Linked DNA regions of Coturnix japonica. The protein of the gene in region 1 interacts with the protein of each later gene in a biochemical or structural test. Links are inferred from orthologs where the notes say so. Each region holds a gene or a part of one and is shown in the gene's direction. Other genes may lie near its edges.

What was found. The genes of interacting proteins can lie anywhere in the genome.
Region 2: the proteins of FGFR4 (region 1) and FGF19 form a complex in vitro, tested with the Homo sapiens proteins (2 studies listed by BioGRID and IntAct). The link is inferred for Coturnix japonica from reciprocal best matches to the Homo sapiens genes FGFR4 and FGF19.

The regions. Positions count from the first base shown.
Region 1 is NC_029528.1:12,076,763-12,081,289, reverse strand, and holds the start of FGFR4 (fibroblast growth factor receptor 4), read left to right. Parts: upstream 1-1,298; 5' UTR 1,299-1,313; coding exon 1,314-1,854; intron 1,855-1,946; coding exon 1,947-2,036; intron 2,037-2,124; coding exon 2,125-2,291; intron 2,292-2,374; coding exon 2,375-2,498; intron 2,499-2,699; coding exon 2,700-2,890; intron 2,891-2,969; coding exon 2,970-3,108; intron 3,109-3,190; coding exon 3,191-3,384; intron 3,385-3,544; coding exon 3,545-3,690; intron 3,691-3,792; coding exon 3,793-3,914; intron 3,915-3,997; coding exon 3,998-4,108; intron 4,109-4,178; coding exon 4,179-4,369; intron 4,370-4,498; coding exon 4,499-4,527. UniProt on the Homo sapiens protein: Tyrosine-protein kinase that acts as a cell-surface receptor for fibroblast growth factors and plays a role in the regulation of cell proliferation, differentiation and migration, and in regulation of lipid metabolism, bile acid biosynthesis, glucose uptake, vitamin D metabolism and phosphate homeostasis.
Region 2 is NC_029520.1:7,237,740-7,242,338, forward strand, and holds the start of FGF19 (fibroblast growth factor 19), read left to right. Parts: upstream 1-1,609; 5' UTR 1,610-1,944; coding exon 1,945-2,182; intron 2,183-2,304; coding exon 2,305-2,408; intron 2,409-4,494; exon of another isoform or gene 4,495-4,599. UniProt on the Homo sapiens protein: Involved in the suppression of bile acid biosynthesis through down-regulation of CYP7A1 expression, following positive regulation of the JNK and ERK1/2 cascades. Stimulates glucose uptake in adipocytes. Activity requires the presence of KLB and FGFR4.

The DNA.
Region 1 (4,527 bases):
GGGGGGACAGCGGCAGCCCCCGGACGGCGCAACATCGCGGCACCGTCTCAAAGCGGCTCCGCGGGGAGCTCCGGGGCTCGGCTCCCGGCTTCGTTCCCGCACGGACCGGGAAAACGGGACGCGGCCGGGACCGCTCCCGGTGTCGGGGGTCTCTCCGCGGAGAGGTGTTTATGGCACGGATTAGGGCCGGGCCGGCCCCGCCTCGCAGCCCCGCGGTGTTTTACGACGCAGCCTTATGGACTCCTAATGGGGGTCACGGCCACTTGATGGCCCCGGCAGCGATAACGCCGCGCTAATTGCAGCGGCGGCAATTAGCCCGAGCGCCCAGCCACGGGAACGGCGCCCAGCAACGCGCCGCGGGGGCTGCGGGCTGCGGGCGGTGGGCGGCGCCGAGAAACGGCCGGGACCCGGGGGCGGGGGATCGCGGGGGCCCCGCACGCCGTGACGTTACGCGAGTGACGTGAACGCGCCTCGTGCGCGTGACGTGGTCCCGGGCAGCGGGCGGGGCCGGGGCCGCCCCCGGCGAGGCCGCCCGCGGCGCCGCGTAACCCGAGCGCCGCCCTACAAAGTGCCCGCGCCCTCGGCACAGCGCGGCGGGGCGAGAGTCGGGGCCGCCATGGGGCCGCGGCGCTGAGCGGAGCCCGCCCGGCCCCGCAGGACTTTGCCCGGGCCCTCCCCGACGAGGCCGGTGCGGGGCCGGAGCAGCCGGAGCAGCCGCGCCGTCGGGGCTCCGCGCAGCCGGCGCTGCCCGACGGTCGCGGGGCGCCGCAGCTCCTGGCCGCGGTGCCGCTTCCCACGGGAGGCCCGGAAGATGCTGCCGCTCTGGCTCGTCCTGGCGGGGCTGCTGCTGGCGGTCGGCCCGGCCGCTTCGCACCGCGGGGAGATGGAGCCAGGTACGGACGGGACGGCTGGGGGGGTGAAGGCGGCTCCGGTGCTGGTTTTTCCCGGCCCCGCTTCTCGTGCTTTCGAGCATCGGCAGCCCGGCTGCGGGCTGGGCTGGGTGCTGCGGGCGGTGCCGGTGCGGTGCGGTGGGGCGCACGCGGTGCTGACAGCTGCGGGGCTCGGGGCGCGGCGGCGGCGCGTGGAACACGCGGACAGGGCGGGGGCTGCGGGTCCCGGAGCGGCCGAACCGTCGCTGCTTTGGTTTGTCCCAGCGGTGGTTTTGCTCCGAGCGGCTCTTGAGTTTAGTACAGAGCTGAATATTTGCTTTGGAGCCGCTTTACCAGCGTGGGCCGGGTCCGCGGGGAGCCGGAGGTGGTGGTGGAACTTTGACGCTGATCGCTCCCGGTTCCTTCCCGTCCCAGTACGGCAGAATGGGCGCAGACCCCTCTGGAAGGACCGTGGCGTGGGTGGCCTTGGCCGGGAACGCGGCAGTGCCAGGCGGTCGCGGGGGAAGCCTTGTCCCAGCGCCCGGGGGCAGAGTCCAGCCCTTGTACACGCGTCTCTGGCCAGGACGTGTGTGTGTGTGTGTGTGTGTGTGTGTGTGTGTGTGTGTGTGTGCGCTGTGCACGCCGAGAAGCGCGGTGGGTTCCTGCTGTCCGGGGCGCTGTGCGCGGCGCTCAGCGCGTCTCTCCCGGGCTGCAGAGCTGATTGAGAGCCCGCTGCTGGAGTCGGAGGAGCAGCAGCTCCTGTTGGAGCCGGGCAATGCTCTGAAGCTGCACTGCAACGCTAACCGCAGCGGTGCCACTGTGGTCTGGTACAAGGAGTCGCGGCCGCTGCTCCCGGGGCCCCGCGTCCGCCTCCAGCCGGGCACAGTGCAGATCTCTGAGGTCGCCTACGAGGACTCGGGGCTGTGTGTGTGTCGGGCGCGGGGCACCGGGGAAGTCCTGCACAACTTCACCATCTCTGTAGTGGGTGAGGGCCCGGAGCAGCACTGAGGGGAGCACAGCCTGATTTACCCCATCCTGAAGACAGGGGCACCCCTCGTGACCCGCTTTCCTTTGCAGACTCGCTGGCATCGGGTGATGACGATGAAGACAGTGATGGGGATGGTCCCCACGGAGACCGCAGCGAGGAGCCGGTCTATGTGCACAGAGGTGAGTGCTGTCATGGGGGGAGCGACTGGGGGCAGCCCCCACCCGAGGCCATAAGCCACATCCCACGATGCCCCCCGTCTCTCCCCAGCACCGTACTGGACTCACCCTCACCGCATGGACAAGAAGCTGTATGCTGTCCCTGCGGGGAACACCGTCAAGTTCCGCTGCCCGGCCTCGGGCAGCCCCAGCCCCAGCATCCGCTGGTTCAAGAATGGACGTGAGTTCCGGGGGGAGCACCGCATCGGGGGCATACGGGTAAGGGCCCCCCCCCATGTCATCCTCTCCTCCTGGTGTCTGGCTCAGCTGCAGCCCCCTGAACCTGTTGCTCCCCGTCGCAGCTCCGGCACCAGCACTGGAGCCTGGTGATGGAGAGCGTGGTGCCCTCGGACCGTGGCAACTACACCTGTCTGGTGGAGAACAGGTTCGGCAGCATCCGCTACAGCTACCTGCTGGATGTGCTGGGTGAGGGTCCGCAGGTGGTGCCAGGGGGGTCCCTGCTGCCACTGTGCTGGCGAGAGGGGATGGGCTGCAGGGGATGAAGGCAGAGGAGCCCATCCTCATCTGCTCTGCTTGAGCAGCCCTCGTGTCCCAGCACCTGAGGGAGGTAGGGCTGGGACCCCCCTGGGTACTGTGTGTGACTTTGCCCCTATGCCCTGTGTGCAGAGAGGTCCCCGCACCGGCCCATCCTGCAGGCGGGGCTGCCTGCCAACACCACTGCCCTGGTGGGCAGCGACGTGGAGTTCTTCTGCAAGGTGTACAGCGATGCCCAGCCCCATATCCAGTGGCTGAAGCACATTGAGGTGAACGGCAGCAGCTATGGCCCTGACGGGGTGCCCTACGTGCAAGTGCTCAAGGTAGCAGCTGGGGGGTGGCAGGGTCACATGGAGCTTGTCCCCACACAGGGATGCTCACGGTCCCTCGTTCTGCCCACAGACCGCAGATATCAACAGCTCCGAGGTGGAGGTGCTGTACCTGCGCAATGTCACCATGGAGGACGCAGGCGAGTACACCTGCCTGGCAGGGAACTCCATCGGCCTCTCCTACCAGTCAGCGTGGCTCACTGTGCTCCCAGGTAGGGCTGAGGTTAGAGCTGGGGTTAGGGCTGAAAGCAGCATGGGGACCGTGGTGTGGACTGACGTGTGCTCTCCTTCTAGAAGAAGAGCTGGTGCATGAAGCTGAGACCTCCGAGGCCAAGTACACCGACATCATCATCTACACGTCGGGCTCGCTGGCTGTGGCCATGGCCCTCATCATCGTGGTGCTGTGCCGCATGCAGACACAGTCGAGCAAGCAGCCCCTGGAGCCCATGGCAGTGCACAAGCTCTCCAAATTCCCACTCATCCGACAGGTGAGGGCTGAGCTGGGGGCACCTTGGTGACAACTGGCCCTGCTGCTGCCACCTGTCCCTGTTGCTTGTCCTTGGGGCTGCCCTCACCCCATTGCTCTCAGCAGCACCAGGTCTCAGTGTGACTCCCAGGTGTCTGAGGGCTGCTGTGCTGTCCCCGCAGTTCTCCCTGGACTCCAGCTCATCAGGGAAGTCCAGCACGTCGCTGATGCGTGTCACCCGCCTCTCCTCCAGCTGTGCCCCCATGCTGGCGGGCGTCGTGGAGATGGACCTGCCCCTGGATTCCAAGTGGGAATTCCCTCGAGAAAAGTAAGGAGCTGGAGAGGGCTGGCAGTGCCGGGGCACTGTGCCCCATGGGCTTGGAGCAGGGTCAGCCCCACTGTGTGCTCACAGCTCTGCCTCCCCTGGCAGGTTGGTGCTGGGGAAGCCCCTGGGCGAGGGCTGCTTTGGGCAGGTGGTGCGGGCGGAGGCGTACGGCATCGACAGGCAGTGGCCGGACCGAGCTGTCACCGTGGCTGTCAAAATGCTCAAAGGTATCAGTCGTGCTGTGGCGTCCTGGGCATGGCTGCTGCATTGGTGCCACCCCAGCATCAGTGACACGGCCCTCTGTCAACAGACAACGCCACTGACAAAGACCTGGCTGACCTCATCTCCGAGATGGAGATGATGAAGCTGATGGACAAGCACAAGAACATCATCAATTTGCTAGGAGTGTGCACGCAGGACGGTGAGGGGCTCAGGGGCAGGGGGGTGCTGGGGTGGATGGGGCAGGGCTGAGTGCTGTGTGTCTTCCCTAGGGCCCCTCTATGTGATAGTGGAGTTTGCTGCCAAGGGCAACCTGCGTGAGTACCTGCGGGCACGGCGGCCCCCCACACCCGACTACACCTTTGACATCACGGAGCTGCACGAGGAGCAGCTCTGCTTCAAGGACCTGGTGTCCTGCGTCTACCAGGTGGCCCGCGGCATGGAGTACCTGGAGTCCAGGCGGGTAGGGACGGCAATCTGAGTGCCACAGTGCAGGGCACGAGGCCTGGGCATCTCCTGGGGGTTGTGGTGCTGGGGGGCCGAGGGTGGGAGCTGCCATCTCACACCAGAGGTGATGTGTTCCCCCTGGCAGTGCATCCACCGTGACCTGGCTGCGCGCAA
Region 2 (4,599 bases), on another chromosome or scaffold:
AAAAAATGGGGTCTTGAACTCCTTTATATTATTTACTGGTTCTGTGATATTGTTGGTGTGTGAGATGTTTGCAAGGACAGGATTTCTCAAGTCAACCCATGACTTAGATGGTGCAGCAGGAGGAACCTGGAAGTGAAACGACCCTCATTTTCATTAATGACTCATCAGCCATATGAGAAAACCGTGCTTCTTTGGTGTGACCCAACTCTCTTGCTGCAGGGAGCAGGTGCTGCAAGGCCCTGATCATCTAGGCACTGATTAATCAGTGTGACAAACCTCAGTGCCACAGGGTGCACACGGTTAGGATGTATAGAAGTCCATCCATACAAGAGTGGGTTATCAACCCATAAAGCTCTGTACTGTCACATGGTCTTGTCTATTTGCTCAGCCTCAACGAGCTTGGGTTGCTCAAAAAGGAGAGATGTTTGCAGGAGTGCGCACAGGATAAAGATGAAAGTGTACAAATAGAAAGACAAAAAATAATCAGGCAATGAAATTTGAAAGGATTTATTTCTTTGCTCGCTTGCTTCTGAAATTCTGCTAGGGGTATGGGGCTGTGTTCTGCTTAATTGATAGTTCGAGTGTCCTATGGAAGAAGAATTTTCTTTTTATTTAATGAAATCCTACTGGTGCCTATTTTCCCTCTCGGGATATGAGAAAATTCGTATAATGCTCAGTTTGGATAGATAACAGGAAAATCAGCAGCAGTCCCCTGAAGTGTCCTGAAAAAGATAAACATAGTACATATGGATTACATAGTACTGCTCTCCCACTTGCCTGGTGCATTCACAGGGTGAACCCCAGCATGGTAAAAGCCGTCAGCATACAAACCTATTTGATACCTATGTCTGGCCTCTGCTCGGTTTCGTTACGCACACTTTTTTTTTGCCGATTTCTCTGCGCGAATGGGAAGATGGGCCAGAGACCCCAATAGCAGATACCCGACGGAGAGGTCAGCCCGCACCCGGGCACCCGGCTCCATCTAGCGGTACAGTCGGGGATGGCCGGGTGGCAAAGCAGCCCGGGAGCGGCGCCGGTCCGTCCCGAGGCGCCGTGCCATGCAGTGCCGTGCCGTGCCGTGCCATGCAGTGCCGTGCCGTGCCGTGCCATGCTGTGCCGGGACGTGTCAAGATCTGACGAGCCAGCGGGTGCCGGGCCGGGCGTCGCTCCGGTGCCGGGCAGTGGCCGCTCTCACCCCGTGCTCACGTCGCGGCGGAGCGGCGCCAGCTGGGAGAAAACAGGATGGTGGCCGCGGAGCCCCGGAGCCGCCAAGCTCAAGCGTGAAGATCTGCCCTGCCCACGGCTCTTTTCTCTGGGCGGGTTACACGAGCATCCCAGTGTAGAACTAGCTTAGTTCTGAAATGGGAATATAGGATGGACAAGCGCTAGAGCCGGGCGGGCGGAGTGATGTCCCCCGAGTGGGCGAGCTGCTCCCTCACCTCTACGTGACCGCTGGTGCCTTTTGGGTCTCGCACCCGTGGTCCTTTTTCCCGTGCTTCGTGCTCGCATCGGGGCTACAGGACCCGACCCTATCCTACCCATGCCCGCCCCGTCCCGTCCCGTCCCGTGCAGCTCGGTTCGCAGGGGCTCGGCGCGGATGAGCTTCGAGGGAAAGCTCGGAGATGCGATGGGGAGGGAGAGACTCCTCCAGGGTGTCCCCTGCGACATGATGTCATCTAATCAATATTTTCGGGGGGAGTGACCCGACCCGACCAATTCCCGCTATGAAACGGGCTCTATATTGGAGCTGGATGCGACCGAACAGATCGGGCTGATAACGGAGGCCTATAAAAAGCCGGGGGGCCGGCTCGGCCCGTGCTACATCCCTCCCGCGACACCGCCGGCTGCACAGAGCGCCCAACCCCGTACCGCACCGCCCCTGCAACGCCCGCGGCAACGCCGCCGTCCGACTCGAGCCCGAGTCTGAATCCGAGGCCGCCGCGGATGGGGCTTCGCCCCGCCGCCCCCGGCGCTGCCCTGGCGCTGCTGGGGATCGCAGCCGCCGCCGCCGCCGCCAGGTCCCTGCCGCTGCCCGACGCGGGCCCGCACGTCAATTACGGCTGGGGGGAACCCATCCGGCTGCGGCACCTCTACACCGCCAGCAAGCACGGGCTCTTCAGCTGCTTCCTGCGCATCGGCGGCGACGGTCGGGTGGACGCTGTCGGTAGCCAGAGCCCGCAAAGTGAGTGCTGGGCTCTAAGGGACGGGACGGGACGGGATGGTACGGGACGGGACGGGACGGGACGGACGGGCGGGAGGGTGGGCGGCGGCGCGGAGCTGACGGCACGTTCCCTCTCCCCGCAGGTCTGTTGGAGATCCGCGCCGTGGCGGTGCGAACCGTGGCCATCAAGGGCGTGCGGAGCTCCCGCTACCTCTGCATGGACGAGGCGGGGCGGCTGTATGGGCAGGTGAGCCCCCGGCCGAGAATGGCAGAGCAAGGAGGGAGGGGGAGGGAGTTTTTGTTGGCGCCGGGGCTTTGGGGTGTCCCCTCCTTTTCGCCGTGGGTCGGTGGTTCTTGGCATTGACACTGCCCGGGTGGCCGTGGGGTTTGTTAGAGGGCAGCAGCAAAAGGACATCGTCCTGAATGTACAGTGCCTGTTTCATGTGGAAAATGCAGTGTCGTCCAGAAGTGAGTTTGTTTAGAAAGTATTCTCGTTTGGTGGCTGCACAAGAAACAGATGAAGTTAGGGCACTGGATCTGAATAGTTTCTTGCTGTTCAGCTCAGATACTTTAGGGAAAAAAATAATTGCTTCCTTTGGAAGGGAGATGCGCTCATGTCACTGCCACTCAAACAAGCCCCAGAGACACAGGGGTACTACAGTCTCTTAGGTAGTAACAAACAAAAGGGGCATCAGGATGGCTCAGCCCTGCTGTCTCACTCCAACCTGAGATACAGCACATCTGTGGCTGTGGAGCTCAGTGACCTGCTGGCAACCCGCCGCTGGCTTGCGCTTTTCGCCCAGCAATGTCAGCATATCCTGTAGACATTATCAGGGATGTAAACTTGGCTTTGTAAACCCAGAGATAAGCTGCCAGCTCCAGAATTTGAACGTTCAGAGTGAGGTTTTGTCTAAGCTCTCTGCAGGAGCCTGGGTCGCGTGGGGTGACGGCTTTTTATTGTGCTGTAGTAAAGGCACAGCTCCATTCTGCTTTGATAGCTGCGGCAAACTTTGTGCCGGTTGCAGTAGGGCAAGGACTTGGCCCACTGTCAAAACTCCTGGTACGTTCAGTCAGACAAAGATGGGTGTAGGGAGGTTATTGACTGAGCATACAATGTAGGATTGCGTTTTTCTTTCTCAGTTTCCTTGCTTTTCTGGGCTAGAATCAGGCGATCGATGCAGTGATAACATGCATAGGCTCTAACAGTGTGGTAGGTCAATTATTAGCTTAAAGTTTCAATGTATATCCAAAGGAAAATGATCAATGAGAACAAAACAAGTCCAGATCCTGCTCCTATTGGAGCTGCTGTAGTCAAGGTATTATAGAGCAGCTTTCTTACAATCCTGTAAACTAACAAGTACCCCTTGAGTGGGTTTGTTGGTGTGTAGTATTCTTCACAGGTTGTTAGCTTTTCTTCTGAAAACACAGTGACACGTGACCATGCCGTTATACCTTTATGTCATGGACCAATTCTGTTTGCCTGATTCCAGAAAATAGTTTTGTCAACTTTGGTAATAGTATTCACAGAGGTGAAGGGTGTAAAAGTTGACACACGGAGACAAGTCTTCTCTTTTGAGACACAGCCCTGTCTCCTGTAGCTACCCTTCTCTAGGGTTGTACTTGGAAGGAAGAAATCAATGGCTTTTAGCATATTCTGTCTATACTCTTCTGATACCCAATAAGCATGGGCTGAGATTGTGCCTGAGTGAGACTGAGGGCAAGAAGCCAGGTCATTCTCAACACCCACTGTCATCTCTCCATCATCAGTCCAGGTCAAGAGCATGCATAACCCAGAGATCAGAAGTGGAAGAAGAAAGGCAGGTGGAATGTCTGGGGCCCAAATTCAGCCCTCCTGTAATGTGTCCCTTCATAACATGGGCCACAGGGATGGCTGGGGTTGATTCTGAGCATACAGTGTGCTGTATAGCCCGCCCTCAGAATTTCTGTAGTTTAGCAGAAATGGTGTAACTGCTTAATACACTGACGTACTGTAAGTTTCTCTTATAGAAAAAAGCAATCTGGAAATACCTAAAGTGTGTTCAGAATGCATTAAAAAGTACGGTTTTTAGAGACAGTCCCACTGTCCCACTAAATGAGTAGGGAGCAATCTGGTGGAGGCACAGGGATGCCATCAGCAACCAGTGTGGTTTGTCACATGCGCTTACTCAAGAAGCCTTCTGATTTCATCATCCTCCGAAGGGAGGCTGTCTGCTCGTAGCAGTAAGGACAGCTGACAAGTCAGCCATAATTATACATCACATACTGGTATCTTTCTGAGATATATATTCTGTGTATGGAAGGAAAAATACTGCATAATTTATTTTTGGGGTGGGGGGGGGGGCGGGGGGGGAGGCCCTTTTTTTGATTACCTGTTTAGTTTAAAGAGGGCTTTTAATCAATACTCATATGCATGTATTTAATTGTACTCCGTATTCTTG